2 linked regions of the Neodiprion lecontei genome follow. The protein of the gene in region 2 purifies or fractionates together with the protein of the main gene of each other region. This does not show direct contact. Links are inferred from orthologs where the notes say so. Each region holds a gene or a part of one and is shown on either strand. Other genes may lie near its edges. The genes, in order: F-BAR domain only protein 2 and AP-2 complex subunit sigma.

The links.
Region 1: the proteins of AP-2 complex subunit sigma (region 2) and F-BAR domain only protein 2 purify together in Homo sapiens (co-immunoprecipitation; 3 studies listed by BioGRID and IntAct, counting the BioPlex papers as one, with this or other methods). This does not show direct contact. The link is inferred for Neodiprion lecontei from reciprocal best matches to the Homo sapiens genes AP2S1 and FCHO2.

Annotation. Positions count from the first base shown.
Region 1 is NC_060264.1:36,304,192-36,309,144, forward strand, and holds the start of F-BAR domain only protein 2, read left to right. Parts: upstream 1-1,706; 5' UTR 1,707-2,036; coding exon 2,037-2,066; intron 2,067-3,633; coding exon 3,634-3,945; intron 3,946-4,112; exon of another isoform or gene 4,113-4,382; coding exon of another isoform or gene 4,383-4,385; intron 4,386-4,441; exon of another isoform or gene 4,442-4,608; intron 4,609-4,713; coding exon 4,714-4,953. UniProt on the Homo sapiens protein: Functions in an early step of clathrin-mediated endocytosis. Has both a membrane binding/bending activity and the ability to recruit proteins essential to the formation of functional clathrin-coated pits.
Region 2 is NC_060261.1:36,413,433-36,417,462, forward strand, and holds AP-2 complex subunit sigma, read left to right. Parts: upstream 1-2,202; 5' UTR 2,203-2,345; coding exon 2,346-2,348; intron 2,349-2,557; coding exon 2,558-2,707; intron 2,708-2,951; coding exon 2,952-3,125; intron 3,126-3,225; coding exon 3,226-3,327; 3' UTR 3,328-3,409; downstream 3,410-4,030. Other genes in the region: trafficking protein particle complex subunit 6b, read right to left, coding at 42-167. UniProt on the Homo sapiens protein: Component of the adaptor protein complex 2 (AP-2). Adaptor protein complexes function in protein transport via transport vesicles in different membrane traffic pathways.

The sequences.
Region 1 (4,953 bases), on a different chromosome or scaffold from region 2:
GACGGATATTATTCAACATTTTAATGTGACGCTAGTAGTTGTCTGACGAGCTTGCGCGCGGTCAGCGAGGGCAGCGAGCGTGTCAGAAGTCTACTAGCGCCACGTAGAAGAATTAAAAAACGGGGACAAACCGCGTACAATTTTTTAGTATATGAGCAGTGGTGAGTGTCAGGGGGCTGGTCAGTTCACGTCCGAAACAAAAGTACATCTTATGGCCACAAAAGCGGCGCTACGAGTTATTCATATGGCTTATTATTATTATTTGGCGGAATCCTAACCAATCTTTCCGATACTCATGCACAGATAACCTTACGTTGTAATCACGGAGTAGTAGGAAGGAGACAACACTCGAGCAGCACTTGGCTCAAAAGCTGGCCCAGTTTTTGGGGCAAAGTAAGAAGAATTGTCAAGGTGCGATTTAAGCGCCTCTTGCGGTGTAAACCCGTACAACGCTCTCCCCCCTTCACCCTATGTTACAATCACGTTATAATTCGCTGTTTGCCGAGACCACGGTCGTGTATACAGGTCTTGTAACTCGGCCGGTTTTATGATGGCGGGGGTGTCCCGCTTAACGGACTCTTTTTCAATAGTTTGTTCTATTACCGCATAAGTCGTTGAGATCGAAGATCGTGCGCCTCCATTAACACCCGTATTCATAGTCCCTCCTTATCTCAAGGATAAAGGAACCCTTGATGAAGGCTTCCTTGAATCTCAGAGGCGTCCTCGTTTCATAGTCACAACTTGGCTCTCCCTTCCAGAAGGAAGACATATTAAGGATATGTGATTGCTTATGGTGGTAAAACAGCTGATCGAAGCGCCACTCGGCTATATTTAAATCTAACTCGAACAGATTAGCTCTCATTGGGAGCTTTCCAGCAACGACACAGAGCGACACAGAGCGACACTGTGTCGAACAGGGTACTTTCCAACAACGACACAGAACGACACAGTCGGACACAGTTGCGGAGCATGGTTGGACACTGTGTCGGATTCATTGCTGCCAATTTTTTAGTTAGAGATTTTATTTTCGACGCATGGTATTGTTTATATCTATTTATTAAATGCAATGATAGTCTACACGCGTTTCACAAATGTTTTTTTTTCCTGGAGCGCTCAATGTTCCTAGATTTTTCGTATAATGCATGAGCGGACTATAGTGACTGAATTAAGAACCTCAAGCGTTCCAACAAGCACCAACAAGTACCAAGGCACAGTGTTCGACCGTGTAACACAGTGTCATACTGTGTCTCCTTGCTGGAAAGCTCCTATTGTCAAGTTGCGTCGGTTGATGAGAGTGTATAACCTCAAAGAAGTTAACCTGTAGACTGGCTGTGACCGCGTCATACGGGTCATAAGTGCATAGACGTCAAGCGCAAGCGCAAGCGTTGGCTACATGAAACGAAACAGCCAATCGCAATGCCGAAGGTTTCCTCAAGGAAGCTCCAGACCTGCCTTGAAAGAAGGAGGCCAATAAGGCTCCTTATTCTGTCGAGGAAGGTCTATGAAACGTGAAATGAGGAACAAGGAATCCTTGTTCCTCAAGGAAGGACTATGAATACGGGTGACACTCTCATCAACTGACGCAACTTGACAATAGGGGTTTTCCAACTGCGACACAGAGCGACACAGTTTACGGCATCGGGTGTTCCAACTACTACACGGTGTCTCACGGACGACTCTCAGAAAAGTTGTGTTTAACCGTGCAATGTATGTCAGTTTTGCCAATGCTGTAGTTCTGTAACCAAAAAGAAACTGGAAAAAAGAGAATGTTTAACGTTGTCAGCGTTGTGAGACAGAGTCTGGTAGTTGTGTATCGTCGACTGTCGTGACGTGAGGTTCTATCGGTTCTGCGGATCGTCGGTGGTCAGGGGCTGGTTAACTGTATTCATATCCTGAGCGCAACACAAATTGAATTACATTTAGTGTTCATCAGTTGATGGCGAGAGGCGTGGCAAGAAGTGCAGCATAGCGTGGTGCGAAAGTGGGCGACGGTGAGGTTCAGAGTGCATAACATGACGGCCTGACATCCACTCACCATGACCGTGGACTTTGCTGATTATTTCTGGGTAAGTGGTTGTGCTTTTGCAAACGTAAACGAGAATTTTCGCCCTCCGCTCCGCCCATCAGGTTATGTGTCGATGCCCACCGCGTCACTGCGAAGATGCATTGTTCTTTGTTTCCGTTTTCTTGTCCACTTGACAGTACTTTCGACGATCTCAGCCTTCTGTCAATCACTTTCCTATCGTCAGTCTTGAATTTCTTCGCCTATCGCTCTGCTCTTCCCGTCTGTGTATACGTTATTAACTATACCTACCATCATACGTTTATTTGGGCCCTGCAAGAATGACCGAATCACAACATCGTCGTATGAATTCCTTAACGTTACGAACGTTGTAAATACCGGAAGCATACAGATAGATGAAAACGTAGTCAACATGTCCCTATGATAGTGATCATTAGCGATTTACGCCAGGCTTACGAATTGTGTTGGGACTGTCGAGTTACGCGATATACTACGCGCGGCTCGAATGCCCAATCCTCTATCTATCTTTCCCGCTCGCTCTTCTTACTCTTGCTCTTCCTCTTGCTCTTTCCTCCTCCTACAACTTGAGTTTCATTCGATTTGTTAATTCGAAGTGGTTGGGAGTAGTCTCAGGCAGTGACTCTTGACTGAAATAAAATGCCATTCACAATAAACGCGACGATGGTTCCATACTTTTGCCTGAGAGTCACTGCTCCAGGCTACTTAACGTCATTCCGAATTGACAAATCGAGCCTAGGAGTAATACAGTTCATGTTTCAGCTTTCATATGTACGCAATATCCTGATATATATGAGCGTGCGTACAATGAGACGAAAGAATTCCTATACACTCAGCCCTTTACCAACGTTATTTCCATAATTACCCATTTAGCTTATATCAAACTATAAAGGTCTCAGAATTTTGTCTTCTACTTTTGCTTCTCTAGGCTGTGTCTTTCATTGGCAATTAAACAATCGATGTCAGGTAAGGTTGGGCACAAGAATTTTTTTGCAAAAATATTACAAACCCAAGATGTTTCCTAATATTCATCCTTTCTACGTCATTTATTATGATGAAAATTAGTGCAGGTAATGTTTTGATTTTAGCTACAATATGGAAGCCTCACACAAAATGTTCCCTAGGGGTTTTTAATTGTATAAGATAATAATATAGTATATAACAATACTAGTATATATTGTATAAGAAATGCAATAAAATAAAAGTGTATAATAATAGTAGTATATCGACTGATAGACGAGGGTCAATAAGCTAGGTGATCCAAATTAATTGCAGGTTCTATATTCTTTATTGTTCAGAGTTTATGGTGACTAACTGCACCACGTACCTATTACCCAGGAATGTCTCACAATTGACGTACATAATGAACGTTCATCAAATAGTTCCTATTGTCGCTGCAACCAGGATAAAATAACTCATTCGAAAATATGACTTTCATGTAGACAGCAATTTTCTATCAAAGATATAACTGTTACCTCTTTGTTTATGACATTGTATATATGACAAAGGGATGTATATTCTTGTTAGTCCTTAAAAAGCACATTCGAGAGATCATGTGTTGTTAGAATAATGAAATTTCTCCAAATCCATAGGGTGAAAAGAATAATGGGTTTGATGTACTGTACCATAATATGAAGCATGGGGCGATCGCAAGTAAAGAACTGGCAGACTTTCTGCGCGAGAGATCAGCAATTGAAGAAAGTAATTACAAGCTTCTGAGCAAAGTTGCCAAGCAGGCAAGTGGCAGTGGCGGCAGTCATGGAACTTTCGCCCCTGTCTGGGCGGCACTGCGAGGCGCTGCTGAAAAATTAGCTGGCCTCCATTTACAGATGGCACAGAAAGTTGGGGAGCTGATCAAAGATGTTTCCAAATATGCAGATGAGCTTCATAAAAAGCACAAAGTGGTGAGACTTGCATTAATATCGCAAATTCAGAGCTAAACTGATGTATTGATTATTTGTCGAGACCAATATTTTTTTTTAGTTTTGAAAGTAATGGATACACTATTGAATTCATATCAGTAGATTCATTTAACCGCTCTATGTCACAACTTACATTGTAATGTTTATAGCTTATGGTCACCCATAATTCCACAAAGATACACAGCAAGGAAAACTTATGTACATCTTTTATACAGACAAGTTCTCATAATGTGTCGATCTACAACATATAATTCAATGACTGAAACATCATCTTTCAATGAATGACATCACTTGACGCTCTAATGTGTTACTCCCGGTGCACAAGATTATCAACGATTGGCCTTGCTGTATAATTTTATTATCGCTGTTTTGATCCATCGTGCAATATTCCATTGCGCCATAAAGGAAAGTATTTTGGAATGGTGCGCAGCTATACTAGGAGCATGACATGATTTCTGCTTTTTCTCAACAATTGAGTCACTTCCCGAGTAAAAAATATCTGGCAACATAGCAGATGCCCTTCCTTTTGTCTCTGCTCCGTTCAGTTCACATTTTTTTTATCTCTGCAGTGGAAGCTTATCAATTGCCGCCCACTGTTCAGCCCCCAGACTGCCGTTGGTCGATTTATCAAATTTTCAGGCCAAGGTTCTCCTGCAAATGAATACAGTTCTGATACTTTCAAAATTATACATCCAAATTGTCTTTTACTTAACTGAATTATATTGATCGATACTAAAATTTAATGTTTAGGTGAAGGAAGAGGAATCTAGCACTCTAGATGTCGTACAAAGTATCCAAAATACAACAGTTACGTTACAAAAGGCAAAGGACATGTGTGTCCAAAAAGGTTTAGAGTTGGAGAAATTGAGAAAAGACAATGCCAGTCAACGAGAACTGGAAAAAGCTGATGCAAAATTCAAGAAATCTCAAGACGATTACAAGGCACTAGTGGAAAAGTATAATGCAATCCGCAATGATTTTGAGTCCAAA
Region 2 (4,030 bases):
TGGGATGTTGGTCAGTATATTTAAACTGTAGTATAACTTGCCTTGCCGTTTGTTTTTGAACTCAGAACGTAATTCACCATTTCGGCATGCAAATATTCGAATAGACACTCGTCCGCTTCCCCGGTATCAGGGAGGTTTGTTTTTGTGTCAACGTTTTGCTGCTTCATAACGCAAACGATGATTTAATGGACCGTCAAGAAATAACAACGCCGATTATTGAACTTGCGTTCTGATCTGTCAAAGTGGCAATACCCAACACACTGTCAGTTTCGCCTTGTCGCTCACTAATAGCTGACAAATTACGATCGCTGATTGGTAAAAAATCTCTCAACTTTACATTTATTTTTTGTAATCTGAATTAAATTCAGTTTTTGATGTTTTATTCTGTTTATGGGTAGGTATTTGTCGATGATTCAACTCTAGACGTCAAATATCAAAGCTGTGTTCATTAACTACTGCTTTTCCCCATTGAATAAGCAGCTTTAAGGACGGTCAGCCAAAGGTATTTTTGCTAAGGTCGTATGCGAGGAGAGTCGACGCCACGGTCGACACAAAGCTACGTCGATAATGGAAAATACTTCTCTATCACTAGCATGGGCGATCGCTTACAGAAACGGCACCCTGAGATTCTCTAGAACTTCCGCATAATGACCATGATACAACTGCGAATGGCCAAAAAACTTGTAATATGATCCGTACATTATTGAAAATTTTCACTGCATACTATGAACAAAATCGACAATAAAAAAATTGAGATTTTTACAGGATTGTTTTCTAATCAACGTCTAGAAACAAAGAATATATCCACATGCCAACTGCACTAGGTACCCAACATTTTTGATATAGGTATTTTGCACTGATTTAGATATTACAGATCAGTGGTCCTTTGCTGTCGAGTTTTGCACAACTGGAGGTATTCGTCGAATGCTTAGCTTATTCTCAGAATCAGAATGCATCAACTACACGCTCTGAGTACACGGTCAAATTAACAAAAAATTTTATACTTTTTTATGTATGCGTGAAATTAATATAGGAAGCATGTAATTATCGAATATAAATCACAGACGATACAACCAGATGTAAAACATCACACACGATGGTATGACGTCAGGTTTTTCTTTACCATTCAATAAAATATGTCAATCAATAATAAAGTTTATCCCACAAATAAACGTCTTTTAGTGGTTCAATGTAATTATCGAATATAAATCACAGATGATACAACCAGATGTAAAACATCACACATGATGGTATGACGTCAGGTTTTTCTTTACCTTTCAATAAAATATGTCAATCAATAATAAAGTTTATCCCACAAATAAACCTCTTTTAGTAGTTCAATTAAGTCGATTGACAAGCAAGCACCATCCAACTGGAGAGAGGATTGATTTAAATGGAGGCAAAACGAGCGTATCGTCAAGTGATATCACAAACCCTCACGAAATTCATCTTAATGACAACATTTTCAGTAATAACTCGACGCCAGTACGAACATACCTATACTTGATACGTTACACAAAGAGACAAATCATATATCAGACTCACCCTTACGCCAAACGCCTGCAGAAAATCACGGCGCTCGTCGCAAATGTGAAGTTTCACCACTGCACTGCACATGACAATTGAAACGTTGAATAACAATTGTTCCAAAAAATTCTATAAAACTGATACTTCACTCACTGGTTCACCACTATTTGTTAGGGATCATGTACACGTGAAACCGATGATGCTGTAATCACAACGTCGTGGTTAACTTCAAGTAAAGGAGTATTGCACTGATTTCACTATATCTTTTCTCCTCCATTTTGATTAAAATTTTTAAAAGCGCAGCAATTCAATCGCGAGTGTCATTTGTTGTGCGTGAATGTAGTATACCTACCATAGACGTTGACTGAAGAATATACACATAACGCCGTGTTAAGTATTCAATACACTCGGTATAAATATCTGAAAAGAATCGCAACCTCGTAGCCGGCTGGTCAATAAATTATCGCGAAAATTGCCGAATTAACTCTACCACACAATCAAGCACAGCAAAATTCGCGCAGTTAACTGCGTGCTTGTCGGCTCGGCCGCCCTCGATCGTTTGTCAGGTGGTTCGGCGTCTTCGGCGTTCGCTCACCAACAAGATGGCGCCGGCTACCGAAGCGCCAATATTGCTCCGTGGCGCTACGGTGACACTAAGCGACGAACAGCCGAGAATTTGACTTGAAGTTGTCTGATCTCATTGCATTTTACACGCGTACAGATAGAATACTGATAAAGCAGGAGGGCGGACTTATCACACGAACCTAAAAAGACACTTGATCGAAAGTGTCACCTGTCATCTGTCACCCTCAGAGATAATGGCAAGTACTGCATGAGAATACGATCAAAATTTAATACAATTCAGCGAGAGAATTTATGTTTATTTGATTCCGTGCACCTTGATTAAAGGTTCAACTCAGTATCCAGAATTACGTTATCTCATTGAAATCAATATTATTGCTTGTTTATAAAATTTTGTCAGGTCCGTACAACGCTAGCTTGATCGTTTCTGATTATACATTTTTCCCAGATTCGATTCATCCTAATCCAGAACAGAGCGGGCAAAACTCGTCTTGCCAAATGGTACATGAATTTTGATGACGATGAAAAACAAAAGCTCATCGAGGAAGTTCACGCCGTCGTCACTGTTAGAGATGCTAAACACACCAACTTCGTTGAGGTTCTACAAGTTCATTGGATATAATATGTCTATAATTTCTTAGTTCAGTGCAAAGGAGCTTATTTTGTTTCGTTAAATAGTTCGACGCTTGATTCGTACAACAGTCACAAAGAAGGCTCAAAGTACATCTACTGATAATGAAAAGATTCCCAATTCTGGTTCAAATTCTGACACACTGAAGAAACTGTTTTTTAAAAATTGCTTTTCCTATGGTTGGCTTGACGCCTATGTATCTTGGTTTCAGTTCCGAAACTTCAAGATAGTCTACAGACGATACGCTGGCTTGTACTTCTGTATTTGCGTGGATGTGAACGACAACAATCTTTGCTACTTGGAAGCGATTCATAATTTTGTGGAAGTCTTGAACGAGTATTTCCACAACGTTTGCGAACTAGACTTGGTGTTCAACTTCTATAAGGTACTTTATCCTGCTGAAAAATTTTACAACGCATCTCATGTAGAATATTTAGTCTGTTGTTATAATAGTCAATCTCCTAATAATACCATTGTAATTTCAGGTGTACACTGTAGTGGACGAAATGTTTCTTGCTGGTGAAATCCGAGAAACTAGCCAAACCAAAGTTCTTAAACAGCTTCTCATGTTGAACTCCCTCGAATAATAAAACAAAATACCATTCCCTTAGAAATGTTCTGTATTTGAAAATCTCTCTACAATACAATCTCATGCTCCATTTCTTCTTACACCTCAAGTTTTGTTTCACATTTCTTTCAAAAGTCCAGCAAGTTATCTTTTTTGCAGCTTATACAGAATTCTTCTGTCTTACCGCTGGTTGATATCAGTAAAAGGTGCAACGTCCACTGTTCTATGTCGATAAGTTAGTTAAGCACGGTTATCAGGTTCCTACTTTATCAAGTGCTTGACTGCACACAGAACTCGCGATCACGAAGTGATCTTTAATTTTTTCTCAGAATAAATTGGAAAGAAAAATCTAGGGTAATTATACGAACGCCGAAAATATCTCAAACCTTACGACATCTTGCCGTTATGACGTCACTCTTTTAATTTCCAATAGCACGACTATTGAACTAGAAAGGACAGAAGCTTAAAATTCGATTTAAATTGTATTACAGATAGAAATTTGGAAAAAATGATAAAACATTGAAACATTATGTAGAGCCGGGATACAACAACAGATGAAAATACTAATTGATGACAATTTTCGCTACACTTATTATGAACACTGAATTGAGTTCGATAACATTGTGAATAGTCTCATTATATCAATGTGCTTCGGTATATACGTGTACAGGCGTAGGTTTTAATAAAACTAAAACTGCAAGCATGCATCGAATAACATGGAA